Saccharomyces cerevisiae S288C: one gene and its partners. The protein of the gene in region 4 interacts with the protein of the main gene of each other region in a biochemical or structural test. Each region holds a gene or a part of one and is shown on either strand. Other genes may lie near its edges.

Region 1 (5,020 bases), on a different chromosome or scaffold from region 4:
TGATTATTAATATTACATGAACTGCTATGGTAAAAATTTAAACGTGCAGTTCAGATAGTACTGAAGTCTAAGTTAAAGATATACTAATTTTAACATGATTTGGTAGTCATATATATGAGTCATATGAGTCGCTACATTCAAATGTACAGTAACTATCAAAACCATTATTGTAGTACCCGTATTCTAATAATGGACCAATCCGCGTGTGTTTTATACTTCTAATATGAAAGTAAAGAGGTCCAGATTTAACCTTCACTTATTACTTCCTTTAAACTTTAGTTATCAACGCCATATGTCCCAAATACAATAAAAAAAGATTTGACGTCCAGTGGACTTTTTTGTCCATTGTTTACTTTTAGATTATTCACAGCAAGATGAACTAAACGTTAAAATGTGAGCTCTTTTGCTCGGGTGTCAAGTTCAATTAAACAAATTCCATTAGTTTTATTAATTATATATATTATATTACTGATTCTTGTTCGAAAGTTTTTAAAAATCACACTATATTAAATTAATCTAGGTCATCATCAATTTCCATACTGTCCTCATTATCGTCATCACCTAACGTGTCAGCCCCTATAGTAGCTTCGTGATTTGGTAGAACTTCCAGACATTCTTCAGCTTCCTCAGGAACATTTTCATCACGAGATTTACCCTTCTTCAAGACGACATTGACAGTTTCCTTATCCTTGATTTCATTCTTTAAGATCCTTAGTGCCAGTTTGTTCAAAATTTCGTTTTGAATTAACCTGTTCAGTGGACGTGCACCCATATCATCGGAATAACCATATTTGGCCAAGAAGTCCTTGGCCTCTTGAGTTAAATTCAACTTGTAATGTTTATCATTTTGCTCGAATCTCTCTTCAATTTCCTTCAAACGAATATCCACGATCTTATGAATAGCTTTTCTAGATAGCTTGTTGAAAATGACTATACTAGAAATTCTGTTCAAAAATTCTGGTCTGAAATGTTGCCTAACAGCACCCATGACCAAATTCTTGGTAGATTCTTGGATCTTTGATCCTTGTTGAGAATTGATAAATTCAGCACCTAGATTGGAAGTCATGATGACAATACAATTGGAACAGTCGATCGTCTTACCTTGACCAGAAGTAATTCTACCGTCATCCAACATTTGTAGCATGACAGTCAAAACATCAGGATGTGCCTTTTCTACTTCATCGAATAACAAAACGGAGTATGGTTTGTATTGCAGTTGGTTAGTTAAAAAGCCACCTTCATCGTACCCGACATAACCTGCCGTGGTACCCAACAACTTAGAGACCGCATACTTCTCGCTTAATTCAGAACAATCGACCCTGATCATCATGTCCTCATCATTAAACAAAAATCCAGCAACTTTTTTAGCCAATTCAGTTTTACCGGAACCGGACAAACCTAAAAATAAGAAGGATGCTGGTTGCCTTGGATTAGCTAAACCTGATCTAGACAATCTAACGGCATTGGAAACAGCTTTAATGGCATCCATTTGGCCCACGACTTCAGATGATAAGTCACGTTCCATATGAATCAATTTTTCATTTTCAGATTCTGACAACTTCTTAACAGGGATACCAGTCAATCTTGCAGCTGTTTCAGAAATGGTGTCTGAATCGACCACATTTTGGATCATGGAGTTGGCACCAGCACGTCTCTCTTCCTCAGCAACCTGATCTTCAAGCTTTTCGATTTGCTTTTTGATATCTGGGATGGCGAAGTACCTTAAATCAGCGGCGGTAGCAGTATCATATCTACGTTCAGCATCAAGGGCCTTGTTTTCCAGTTCATCCAATTTCTTTTTAGCTTGTGTCAATTCTTCATGGCCATGCTTTTCTTCATTGTAACGTTGTCTTAGAGGTTCCAATTCTTCTTGCAATGAAGCTTCCTTCTGCCTAGCTAACTTTAATCTATCTTTAGTGGTGGAGTCGGCATCTTCATCTCTCTCTAGAGCTTTTATCTCTACTTGAATCAATTGCAATTGACGTTCCTTGGAATCCAATTCTTCTGGCTTAGAATCTCTTGCGACGGCGACACCAGCACAAGAAATATCAACTAAATCCAAAGCAGAATCTGGCAATCTTCTATATGGCAAGTAACGCTTGGCTAATTGAGCAGCAGTGACTAAGGCGCTATCCAGAATCCTTACACCATGATGTATTTCATACTTTGGTTGCAGACCTCTCAATATGGCCACTGTTTGTCTCACACTTGGTTCAGCGACTTCAATTTTCTGGAATCTTCTTTCAAAGGCACCATCCTTTTCCACAATAGATCTATATTCGTTATTGGTGGTGGCACCGATGACCTTCAATTGGCCTCTGGACAAAGCTGGCTTCAAGATGTTAGCAGCGTCGTCCTTACCATTACCCATTAACATGTGAATTTCATCAATGAATAACACAATTAGAGTCTTTGATTCTTCGATTTCCTTCAAAACACCTTTGAATCTTTCTTCGAAATCACCTTTGTATTTAGCACCTGCGGTTAATGCGGCCAAATCTAGACTGAACAATTTAGCGCCTTGTAAGATAGTGGGAACGTCATCGTCAATGATTCTTTGAGCAACACCTTCAATAATAGCGGTCTTACCGATACCTGGCTCACCAATTAAACATGGGTTGGACTTAATTCTTCTTGCTAAAACTCTAATAGTGCTTCTTATTTCTTCTTCACGGCCGATGACAGGGTCAAGTTTACCTTGACGAGCCTGCTCAGTCATATCAATGGCGTACTTTGATAAATATTCCAAAGGTGTGTTCGTATCAGCGCCACGAGAGTCAATTCTAGTGTTACCACGAAGTTCAAGAGCTTGTTGCTTGATGGCCTCAATATCTACTTGAGCTTCCTTAAATATTTGCTGAATAGACGAATCATTGAATAGAGCAAACAATATATGGTCTTGCGCTATAAATGAGTCCTTCTGTTGTTTTTGAATCTTAGCAGCGTCTTGAAGGACTTTCCCCAAAGCATAACTTGGAGTTATCTCCGCAGGTGCAGGTTGCTGTTGAGGAATTCTTACTAGATTTCTATTAACCACTTTCTTGAAAAGATCATAGTCGTAACGGCCCTTCTCAATTAGATTCTGTAGGTAAGGGACTGATCCATCTTCTGGCGTTTCAATGAAGGCAGCTAGAATATGTATAGGTTGTAATTGTGGATGTTGATGATCCGAAGCCAATTTTTGAGCCAACGTCAAAATCGTTAGAGCCCTTTCTGTAAATTGCGTTTGGTCGTTCATATATTCTGTATATTTTATGGTACGTGTAGTTGATTTCTTTTTTCTTTGTTATTGCTGATTCGATTCAAGGGTAAAAAGGAACAAGTGACAAAGGAACGAATTATGAAGGAATTGAGGCAAGATTACAATGCCTTATATAATAATCTGGCAGGTTGCATAAGTTTGCGCCCCTTTGCCTTTTACTGTGATATAATTTGCAGTTCTTTGAGATGGGCCCCCTGTTGAAAATTGAACAAAAAAATCGCGGCCCCTTATGGAACGTTTAAGATTGTAATTAATAACCCTTCTAGAAAATTCTGGAAAAATATATATCTACAAGAACAACGAAAGAAAAGTTAGGAACAGCAAACACTACCACGATGGAGGGTTCAATGTTAATATGTATGATAAATATGTAAATAAATAAGTAAATGAATAAATAAGTGAATAGGTAGATTCTTTTTTTCTAAAAATGGTGCAGAAGGTTTTTAAACCATGAAACTCTCGCCACAACCGCATGTGCCCTTGGAGTTTGGATTCTTGAAGACAAACTTAGAGGCCAACTTGTCGTCGATCCAGTCCATTTCACTTCCAATGATGCTGAATAACGCCTTTGAATCGATGACAATTTTAACGCCATCTTGTTCTACTACCTCATCGAATTTCCCCGGCTCGGTGATATATTGTAGATCGTACGTTAGTCCTGAACATCCACGGTTTCTAGCGCTAACTCTAATCAATTTAGGTTCCGGCTGAGCTAGCAGTGCCCTTAAATGCTTGATTGCCTTCGGACTCAGGGTGATCAGCGCCTTTCTTGGTCTCAATTTCCTCTTTCTTTTCTTGGGAGGTTCTGTGCAAGAGCAGTCATTCTTGGATACTGCAGCAGCTATTTGCTCGTCTATAGCTTTATTCTGCTTCTTGATGGCCTCCTCATGAGATTTGATGGTCTCACGCGAAGGGAATGCGTAGCTCGACCACTTCGGGCTTTTAGAAGCCTTGCTACTCTTGCTCTGATTGGAAACTATGAATTTGAAGGGCTTCTTACCTGGACGTTGACTATCTGGAGAGACAGAGTCTGCAGCTGCGGGCACTGTCTTCGGTATGAATTTTAATTTGAAAGGATTTACGTTGTTGATTGTGCGAGACATTGTGCCATTCGTACCGCCTCGCCAAAATCCTCCAGTTGAAAGGAATCTGTGTGCCAGCAGTACTGAATTCCTGCTTCTTCCTGTGTTTATCATTATGTTACGTTATTGTTCCGATCGTTTGTTATACTACCAAATCAAAAAAATCTAAAATGGTCTTTCGTACGAGTGCAAAAATGGTGGCCAAATGTATAAATAAATAAATAAGACGAGTAAAATAATGTCAATAAATAACAGTTTCTTAGTAATTCTAAAGGATTTACAAATATTTGCAAAATTCCATTACTCTTCCTTGCTTTCCTGTCCTCTTTCCCTTTCCTTTATGAATTAAAAGCATCTCAATCTCTTTCCTTTATTCCGTTGAAATTCCCTGTCAATTTTAATCCAAAATAAAGAAGTCATTAAACGGGCATTTACCGGGTGACTGTTATCTGACCAATGAAATCTGAGGGTATGACTAATAAGCCCCCGCCCGAGTTTCGGCCAAGGGTACGGACAACGCCGAGAACCGGCGATGAGAAGAACAATAGCTTTTATCTATTTCTTATTAGAGAGGGATTATTAATCATTAATTAGTGTTTTATTTAGTAACTATGGGCTATACATAACAACCACATAAGAGGAGTCTTGGAGGAAAAAAATGGGAAAAAAAAAAATA
Region 2 (3,607 bases), 380 kb from region 4:
TAGAACCAACACTAATTGCTACTTTGGCCGAATTAGACGTAACTGTCCCAATCAACAGTGATGATGTCAAGATCACCGTTGAGCAATTGAAGAAGAAGCATGAAGAGCTTTTGTCGAAACAAGAAGAGCAAACAAAACAAAACATTGAATCTGTCGAAAAGGAAATTGAGAAATTAAATTTGGACTACTCTAACAAAGAGCAACAAGTAAAAAAGGAATTGGAAGAAAAAAGATTGAAAGAACAGGAAGAGTCTGAAAAAGATAAAGAAAATTAAACCTGAAGTAGAAAAAAATTTTTCTCCTGATCTTTCTTCATTACTTAATTTTTCTTTGGTTGAGGTGATGTTTTTTTCTGTACTTAGTATTCACTACGTTAAAAAAACACATGGTCTTATTTTCCAAAATGCCTATTCCCTATATATCTTTGCCTATATGTATATAGTATTAATAGCTTAGATTGTTTCTGCTTTCTAAAAAAATAAAAATTGAATCACATACTACACCAGTCTGAATACATCTACCAACGTACACATTCATATATTTCTACATAATAAATTGCAGATTTACGTCAATAGGGTGTGACGATGATAATTGTGGTTTTTGAGAATACTTACCAGCCAATTCTTTCCTCATGTTCTGTAAAAGAGATAAATATGATTGCTGTGGTTGTAAAGTCATAACCTTGATGAAGGCGTGGGACATTGCACCTGTATTTTGCCCATCTTCGACAGCATCTGCAGAAGTTTGATTATCCTTCGAACCTGATAACATAACAACATCTGCTGCTGAGAATTTGATCTGTCTCACGCGTTCTCTATCCACATTATTGCCCATACCTCCCTTAACGGTCTTGAATATAGAACCTAAAGAACCAATCAAAGCAGCCCTGTTTCCTGTGGCATATGAAATAGCTGCTTGCAGGCCATCTTGGCCAACATCCTTCCAAATATTGGGCTCCTTAATAATACCCTTAGTAGAATAGGTATATGGAAGATCCAACACTGTACCCGAATGACAAGAGTCAAACAATGCTGTTAGTCTAACACCTTGTTGTAAGGGCTTCACCATTATATCGTGCATTTCATCGTCGATAATTGGCCCTTGAGTTTCGAAATCGACCGGATATATAACATCATCCATCCCATCTTCTTCGTCCCCATCCAAATCTTCAGTTTGGCCACCATGTCCAGAATAATGAAGGAACAAAGAATCATTGGGTTGCGCATCCTTGACCAACCATTGCATGGCCCTAATCATATTAGCCCTAGTGGGAACCCTGACCAAATCGTTCTGATCATCAGTTAATATGACAATGTCATCTGAACTGTAACCGTACCCATTAGTCAAAAAGTTGAAGATGTTATGAGCATCATTGATACAACCACGCAGTTGATTTTTTGAACCTATGTAGTTTATACCGATAATCAAAGCCTTTCTACGCCCAGTACATTGAGAATACTGATAAGGTTGGTCTGTACCTTGAATAGTTTGTGTTTGAGGTGGAGGTAATGACATATTCTGGGGTGGACCGTACATATTGGATGCGTTTACATTAGGATTGTTGTAGCCGTTGCTTAATTGTGCCTTTGCCTGTTCCTGCTGGAATTGAGGGGGGGGATACACAGGCCTGTTATAAGCCATAGGGGGAGGACCTGGTGGTGGAGCATATTGCTGACTGAATTGCTGATCATTTTGTTGCCCATATTGCTGTCCATACTGCTGTTCATATTGCTGACCATATTGCTGTCCATACTGCTGGTTAGGTGGAGGAGCCATGGGCCGTTGGTAGCCATTATTACCACCAGCGTTGTTGTAGGTGTAACGTCCACTACCTGGATACATGATTGTAAATCTAGTCGGTCTTCTTTGGTGGTAGTTTAGATAAACTTCGAGGCTCATCTTCATATTTTTGGCTCCTATTAATGCGAAGCCATGCTTTTTCAATAGTTGTTATTACCCGGACGCTTTTCTCGAAGCAGTTATTTGAAAAGCACTTGTAGTAATCAAATATATGTATATGACTCGATGGGCATTAAGTATCCAGTTTTGTCAGTTATGTGGATTTTAAGGAGAACTGTTAAGCCACAATAATGTATAGACGATCTGTTGGAGTACTATTTGTTGGGAGAAATACAAGATGGATTTCGTCCACTATTAGGTGTGGAACGAGCGCAACTCGGCCAATAAGATCCAATGCATTGAATACTGATTCAGATAACGCTAGCGTTAGGGTACCAGTTGGAAATTCAACTGAGGTTGAAAATGCAACCAGTCAGTTAACAGGGACTTCGGGAAAAAGACGCAAGGGGAACAGAAAAAGAATTACAGAGTTCAAAGATGCTCTTAATTTGGGTCCATCTTTTGCAGATTTTGTTTCAGGTAAAGCTTCGAAAATGATCTTGGACCCTCTGGAGAAGGCAAGGCAAAATACAGAGGAAGCTAAAAAACTACCTCGTTGGCTTAAGGTTCCTATTCCTAAGGGTACCAATTACCATAAATTGAAAGGCGACGTAAAAGAATTAGGCCTGAGTACTGTTTGTGAGGAGGCAAGATGTCCCAATATTGGTGAATGTTGGGGAGGCAAAGATAAATCTAAGGCAACGGCAACAATTATGCTGCTTGGTGATACTTGCACTCGTGGATGTAGGTTTTGTTCTGTGAAGACCAATAGAACGCCTAGTAAGCCGGACCCAATGGAGCCCGAAAATACTGCCGAAGCTATCAAAAGATGGGGGTTGGGTTATGTTGTTTTAACTACCGTTGATAGGGACGATTTAGTCGATGGTGGTGCTAATCACCTGGCCGAGACGGTTCGCAAAATCAAACAGAAGGCACCAAATACTCTTGTAGAGACTCTTTCTGGTGATTTCAGAGGTGATTTGAAGATGGTGGACATTATGGCACAATGTGGGCTTGATGTTTACGCACATAATTTGGAAACAGTTGAATCACTAACACCACATGTCAGAGACAGAAGAGCTACTTATAGACAGTCTTTGAGTGTTTTAGAAAGGGCAAAAGCTACGGTTCCGTCACTGATTACTAAAACATCAATAATGCTGGGTCTAGGAGAAACTGATGAGCAAATTACTCAAACTTTGAAGGATTTGCGCAATATTCAATGTGATGTTGTTACATTTGGTCAATATATGAGGCCAACCAAGAGACATATGAAAGTCGTAGAATATGTGAAACCCGAAAAGTTTGACTACTGGAAAGAGAGAGCTTTAGAGATGGGATTCTTGTATTGTGCATCTGGACCCCTAGTAAGATCGTCATATAAGGCTGGTGAAGCATTTATTGAGAACGTTTTGAAGAAAAGAAACATGAAATAATGCACACTGAAATCTAATAGTTGGAAGAAAACAATTATGGCATGGACCGCAATGTCTTTGCTTGCTGGATTATTTATTTATATCTTGTATTTTATTTATTTTTATGGTTAGTATGTTTTTGCATATTTATTTTTAACACAGAAAAGTTAGGAAACAATATCAAATATTCGATACGAATTTGTATATTTACGGTATATCCTTAATATTTTATTCTCATGACATATTAAGGGAAAAGATAAAATGCAAAAGAAAAAAATGCGTTTATTTTTTTT
Region 3 (3,131 bases), on a different chromosome or scaffold from region 4:
GTACTATCTCCCTCATTTCCTTGCTTCAGCCAAAATGCAAGACCCCCCTTTGTGCTGCCTCTGAACCCGAAACTTCTAAACGTCCACTCTATTGTCATTGCATCCTTTATTGAATATTCAGGTTTCAACCAAAGTGAACCCTTTGTGTTCTTTCCAGGAGTTAAAACAAACCTCCCTTCTTCAAGTTTTACTTTGTCACCCAAAGTCCATTGTGAAAGTTCTTTTTGCTGATCTGTCACTTCTAGCAAATTTGGTAGCGAGTATCCTTTATTCCATTTCAATTCATCCTTCTGCGTCACTTTTCCGTGTACCATCCACACACACATATATAACCATATCAGTCCATTAATGAAATTCATCTTCTTTTGCTTAGTTCCAGCTTTTGTTCCTGTGATTTTCCCTAAAAGCTGAAGAGAGGAAGCTGTCTTTCTTGTAGTCATCCTCCCCTAACTCGCTTTGACGAAATACTACAATGAAATATGCTATTATTCTGAAGACAGAAAACCAGAATAAAAGAATACGGTAAGGAAAAGTTAAAAATCCTGTTAATGTTGTAATATAGAATATCCTGTATATATTATAATATGTAAAATGTTGATGTTAATGCCCCTTTGCAAATAAATGTAGAATAAGTAAGTAAATAAAATATAATCGTTCCAGAAACTTTTTTTTTTCATTTCTTCAATGCTCTTGATCCCTAGATTGAAACAATGCCTTTGGCTTGAATCTTCTCTTTTCTTCATCCGTTAACCTTCGTTTCTCTACCACCTCTCCCTTCTTATTGACATATGTTATTACGTCTTCTATATCTGGGTTTTCTCTCAACATTGCCCTTTTACGTTCATTTCTAATTTCCTGAGTGACCAGTTCATCTGATGCAAAGGGATTTTTACCCACCCGCACTGGATTGATGATGATGTCTTCCTCGTCTTCACTTTCTTGACTCCTGGCGTCATTTTTCGGAGAGTTGTTGTTCCAATTTTTTGCCAATTCAAATGTTATCACCTTGTCGCTGGGCGTACCAGGTACATCTTTAATAATCTTCTTTCTATGTGTCTGATCAAACTCATCTCTTTCAAGTGATAAATGTAACTGCCTGGCAGATGTAGGTCTGCTGGGGGGAAGAAGAACTTCTCCTTCTTCTTCTTCTTCTGCTGCATCTATATCCACATTTTGCTGCGTGGGAAACAATATCCTATTTACACGACCCAATGGTTCCTGCTCTTCCCTTACTGTTCCATTATCATGACTTTCAAATTGGAATAGTGTCCTCTTCACTGAAGATTTTGGAAACGGCGAGCGTTGAGGAGACGTAAGCCCATTAAATGGAGAGGTCATACCCATGTTCGAATTGGGAGGTGCTAATAATGGCGCATTTTTAAAAGACTTAGTTGTTGAGGGAGTGACAGGGACTAGGTTCTGTGAAGGCTTTTGGGGGGTCTTTTGACCTTGCATTAGGGCACTAGAACTAGTATTGCCACTAGGCTGCGCAAGGTACCTAGTCCCTCTGGACCTTGGTGGGGTGGAAGGAGTCATTTTCGTGTAATAGTCCCTGCTTCAAGGGTCAAAATTCCGTAGAGGTTTGGTTGATTGATTTACAAAGACAATACCTTATCCTTTGGATATGCCTTCTCTCTTTTTATAAATATCAAAAGTTGCGACGCGAACAACAAGCCAGCCATTGAAATTTTCAGTGTGCTGGCTATAATAGACAGGATCGACGCTGTCGATGGAGAAGGAAACACGGCAATAGTGCAGATATTATCGTGACTTAATCATATTGATTTGAGGGGGGAATGGTATGTTTGATCGCCGGAGGCATCTTTTCTCATTATTGCTAAAACAAGATGTAATACTAACAGGGTATTTTGCTACTACCATCAAATAGAACGCTCTTTACAACCATGCTGTGAAGCAAAAAAATCAACTACAACAAGAGTTGGCCAGGTTTGAAAAGAATTCTGTGACCGCCCCTATTTCTTTACAAGGGTCCATCTCTGCAACTCTGGTCTCACTGGAGAAAACAGTTAAGCAATATGCAGAACATTTAAACAGATATAAAGAAGATACTAATGCAGAGGAAATTGATCCTAAGTTCGCTAATCGACTAGCAACTTTAACACAGGATCTGCACGACTTTACTGCCAAGTTTAAGGATTTAAAACAATCCTACAACGAAAATAATTCCAGAACTCAGTTGTTTGGCTCAGGAGCATCGCATGTTATGGACTCCGATAACCCCTTTAGTACATCAGAGACCATCATGAATAAAAGGAACGTTGGTGGTGCGAGTGCAAATGGTAAAGAGGGCTCTAGCAACGGTGGGGGACTACCGTTGTACCAAGGGCTACAAAAGGAACAGTCTGTTTTCGAAAGGGGTAACGCTCAATTAGATTACATTCTAGAAATGGGCCAACAATCATTCGAAAATATAGTGGAACAAAACAAAATTTTATCCAAGGTACAAGATAGAATGTCAAATGGCCTAAGAACATTGGGTGTTTCGGAACAAACTATCACCTCTATCAATAAACGGGTGTTCAAAGATAAACTAGTCTTTTGGATCGCGTTAATTCTCTTGATCATAGGTATTTATTATGTGTTGAAATGGTTAAGATAGAAGTAACCGTGAGTTCTATATATAAATAAACATACCATATATACATGCATCATTATAAGGGTTGAAAAAACATCGCGAATCTCGCTACTTTCCTTCTATGCTCTTTCGTTTCTCAAACCCGCCAGTATAAGCAACTTTTATTACCATTGGTGACTACACGTTGCTCCTTTTTTAAGTGTAATTTACTGTTATAAATTGAGTCCAAATCTGTCGTGTCTTGTCCTGGTTTGAGAACTTCGGGAATGTTCATTGGCTTAGCGCATTTCATAGTTTTCTTTCCAATACCTAGTTGGCCATGGTCGTTATTACCCCATGCAATGACCTCGTTTTCTTGTTCAGTTTCAGTGAACACACAATGAGAGCCGCAACTCCAGTTGGTCAATTTCTTGTCATCCGACTTGATTTTTATGGGATCACATTGCGAGTTCTTGAAAGTGTTGTTGCCCAATTCACCAAAAAGTCCATTACCAAACGCGAAATAATGATGGTCTGACGTTGAGCCAGGCTTACG
Region 4 (3,321 bases):
TACCTTGAAATTTCTGTCCAACTCTCAATGATTTAATTAAGCCCAACCTTTCAAGTTTTTTACCACTGCATCTCTTTGGATCGCAATGATCAAAATCCCACATAGCCAGTTTAACAGGAAACTTCATTTTTTCTGAATTATCGTACTTCATTTCCATGCGCCTATGGTTTTGCCTGGAACTGTGCCCATTAGCGCCTCTCTGTGGTCTTCCATTTTTGGGTTCGTGCATCTTATTTTTACCTTTTCCCATTGTTACTGCTTACTCAACTGTCTTACGCGAGAAGTTCTATACAGATTTACATAAAAAGCTTTTCGATAAAGTATTTCAAATAGACATTTACTAGTAAAAATTTTTTTATGTAGTTTCTCATCACATTATATTTTCTAGTCTTCTCCGAAAATCGACGAATTTACCTGAAAAAAAGAAAAAGTAAACTACAGTCCCTATTTAAGTATTTCGCAAGTGATCTCAAAGTAAAAATAAAATTCCTGGTAACACTCATCCTAGATAGAGCTATATTTGTATCTACATAACATGTATTGCATTAAAGGCTTATTTCAGTCCACTATTGCTTGTTCTCATTGTCTGGTGTTTCATCTGTAGATTGGGCACCTGCTCCACCAAAAAGATTGCCTGCCATGTTTCTGAGTGCTGGGTTATTCATCAAGTCAGACAAATTTGGAGTTCCTCCGCCTGAAGCAAAGCCTTCAGCCATCTGTCTGATACTTGGATCTTGCATCATTTTTTGAATATTCTGCATTGCACCTGGATTGCTCATCATTTTTTGCGCAGCCTGCATCAATTGTGGGTTGTTCATTAAACCTCCAAGACCACCTCCTAATAAAGAACCAAGATCTGGCAATCCACCCGCACTAGCACCCTGACTTGCATCGACATCAGCATCCCTTGACTGTTCTGGAACGGTTTTCTCCAGATTCAAAGATTGCTCAACCTTCTTCTTGGCACTTTCATAATCCCTTTTCATAGCTTCTGTTGCATTATCGCCCTCTATATCAAGAACCTTTTTGTATGCTTCAAGGGCTTCTTCGGGTTTACCTTGCGCATATTTAGCAAAACCCAATCTAGAGTAGCCTCTGAAATAAGATGGGTCAATAGAAATTGCAGATTCAGCGTCTTTGACCGCTTGATCATATTCTTTCAGGGATGAATGAGCAGCCGCTCTATTGGCGTAATAAATAGCATTCGTTGGTAAAACTTTAATGGCTTCAGTATATTTATTGATTGCCAGTTCGTAATCCTTGTTGGCCATTGCTTTATTACCTTGCATTTTCAAGTCCTCAGCTTTGGCTTTAGTTTCCGCATCATCTTCTGGAATATTAATCTCGACATTCTCAGCATCGTCTTTCTTATTCGATTCTGGAACTCTTGACGCAGAATTTAATATATCAGCAAGATGTTGACCCTTGAATTCAGACTTGCCTAAAATGCCTGAAACAGCTTCTCTTTCAAAGCCAAAGGCTTCAGAGATACAGTCCATAGCAACATTTAAAGAATCGGCGCCATCTTCTGAAATTTCTTTCTTTTCCACAATGGAAGAAAAGTAGTTTACAATAAGGGCAGCAATTTCTTCTTTTGATGCTGACATCGTACAGTAGATTTGTATTAATAAGATATCACTTGGTCAGAAGCTTCTATTCAGTTGTCCGATTATATCGCTCGTACTCATTTTATATGGTGGCAAAATTTGGGATTAAGCGTAGGGCAATAAAACCTTCTCGGATCTTCCATTTTTTTCGATTGGGAAAATTTTAAGACTTGAAAAAGTTTGGAAAAATACAAAAGAAGGGCTAAGTGTTGTGATTAGAATGTCATGACAATAAGGTTAAAAGCAAATATTATGCCGCCTATAGCCCTTTAAAATAGCATAAAAGACCTTTGTAATTTCTATTCAATGTTAAAAAAAATCTTCCCCGCCAGGACTTGAACCTGGAATCTTCTGGTTCGTAGCCAGACGCCGTGACCATTGGGCCACGAGGAACAGATCTTGAGAAAATTAGAGATATTTATCGATACACGTACTAAAAGCAAATTTCATAGTTTTATTTCCCAATAATGCCCATCATCCATTATTATTATATTCAAATTATTATGCCAGTGTGAAAAAAATGGAATGATCATTCCCATACATATTGATGATTTTCGACATAATTATATGCAATGGTATACGCAATTGTGCAAACATGACAATTTTGTTTTGATTCTTTCATTCCATTTTTTGTAAAGGAATAATATCCCTATATAATATGCCAGAGGTCTTTCCTCGAGGATACAGGAATCCGCAAAATGGAATCAAAATTTTACATCATATATTATAATCACGTCTTCCTCCTTTTTCATGCATTACTACTCACGCATCCTATCACATAATCAATCCTTGCGCTTCAATTTCATTAGATTGAAGAAAATATGAATATAAATTTATTAATCTCCTACTTTATATCGTCTTTCAACGCGGTATTTTTTTAATAATTTCTAGTAAAGTGGTTATTGTCACTAGAAGATAATTAGCTATTAGTTTCATAACAATTTGTTATTTTGAAAATGTATAGTTTTATTAGGTGGTATTCATTTCAAAGAATTAACATGTTTAATGTTTGTTAAATCTATGTAACTAAGTTAAGGTTGGTATTCAAATATATCATAAAAAAATTAATGAGTAGAAAAAAAAATAACTAATCTAATTTTGTTGTTCCTATTTAATGTTCCTCGTTACTTCCAGCTCTCCAGCTCTCAAATTCGAAATGTATGAATTTTTAGAGGATCATCATAATGTGAAAATGGAGATGATTTGGCAAAATGAAATCGGAAAAAGAAAAAATTAATGGGAAGGAACAAGACTTGCTTGGCAATAGTTTAAGAATATAATAATTTTTTTTGGGTTTCTTCAATCAGCTTCGTCTGGATTGACCACTGTTAAAACGTTGTTTTTCCCTCCTGGTCCGCCATTTATGAATGTTCCGTTACTTATTCTCCTTGAGTCGTCGAAAGGGTTAATATCAGTTTGCCCTTTGGTGTGCTCCTCCTCGAAGCTACCTGAAGAGGGCCCGTGATTAGATGAAAATGAAGAGGCGTATAGTTTATCAGGGTACTCAACTGGTTTTATCGCCTCTTGGTATTCCTTTTCCATCCTGTCTTGTTCCCGCTTCATATTAATGTGTCTGACAATCAACAAGATACAAAGAGCAATGGCTACGGCTCCCACTACACCACCTACAACGCCGCCTACAATTGCCCCTACATTGGCTTTCTTTTTATGAGTTTTACTTCCACTCGTAGAGTCAGATCCAGCTGTACCTGTG

The links.
Region 1: the proteins of SGT2 (region 4) and HSP104 form a complex in vitro, tested with the Saccharomyces cerevisiae proteins (one study listed by BioGRID).
Region 2: of the proteins of SGT2 (region 4) and MCA1, one has a biochemical effect on the other in vitro, tested with the Saccharomyces cerevisiae proteins (one study listed by BioGRID).
Region 3: the proteins of SGT2 (region 4) and BOS1 form a complex in vitro, tested with the Saccharomyces cerevisiae proteins (4 studies listed by BioGRID).

The regions. Positions count from the first base shown.
Region 1 is NC_001144.5:86,841-91,860, reverse strand, and holds HSP104 (chaperone ATPase HSP104), read right to left. Parts: upstream 3,239-5,020; coding exon 512-3,238; downstream 1-511. Other genes in the region: Fe-binding Fe/S cluster assembly protein ISA1, read right to left, coding at 3,706-4,458. UniProt on the Saccharomyces cerevisiae protein: Required, in concert with Hsp40 (YDJ1) and Hsp70 (SSA1) and small Hsps (HSP26), for the dissociation, resolubilization and refolding of aggregates of damaged proteins after heat or other environmental stresses.
Region 2 is NC_001147.6:715,321-718,927, reverse strand, and holds MCA1 (Ca(2+)-dependent cysteine protease MCA1), read right to left. Parts: upstream 1,843-3,607; coding exon 544-1,842; downstream 1-543. Other genes in the region: BFR1 (Bfr1p), read left to right, coding at 1-275; LIP5 (lipoate synthase), read left to right, coding at 2,091-3,335; SLK19 (Slk19p), read right to left, coding at 3,597-3,607. UniProt on the Saccharomyces cerevisiae protein: Cysteine protease that cleaves specifically after arginine or lysine residues. Mediates cell death (apoptosis) triggered by oxygen stress, salt stress or chronological aging.
Region 3 is NC_001144.5:285,225-288,355, reverse strand, and holds BOS1 (Bos1p), read left to right. Parts: upstream 1-1,796; coding exon 1,797-1,799; intron 1,800-1,888; coding exon 1,889-2,620; downstream 2,621-3,131. Other genes in the region: EMP46 (Emp46p), read right to left, coding at 1-440; cyclin-dependent protein serine/threonine kinase inhibiting protein SIC1, read right to left, coding at 682-1,536; FMP25 (Fmp25p), read right to left, coding at 2,733-3,131.
Region 4 is NC_001147.6:338,372-341,692, forward strand, and holds SGT2 (Sgt2p), read right to left. Parts: upstream 1,608-3,321; coding exon 567-1,607; downstream 1-566. Other genes in the region: ribosome biogenesis protein TSR3, read right to left, coding at 1-250; SLG1 (Slg1p), read right to left, coding at 2,907-3,321. UniProt on the Saccharomyces cerevisiae protein: Co-chaperone that binds to the molecular chaperone Hsp70 (SSA1 and SSA2). Regulates Hsp70 ATPase activity. Required for recovery from heat shock.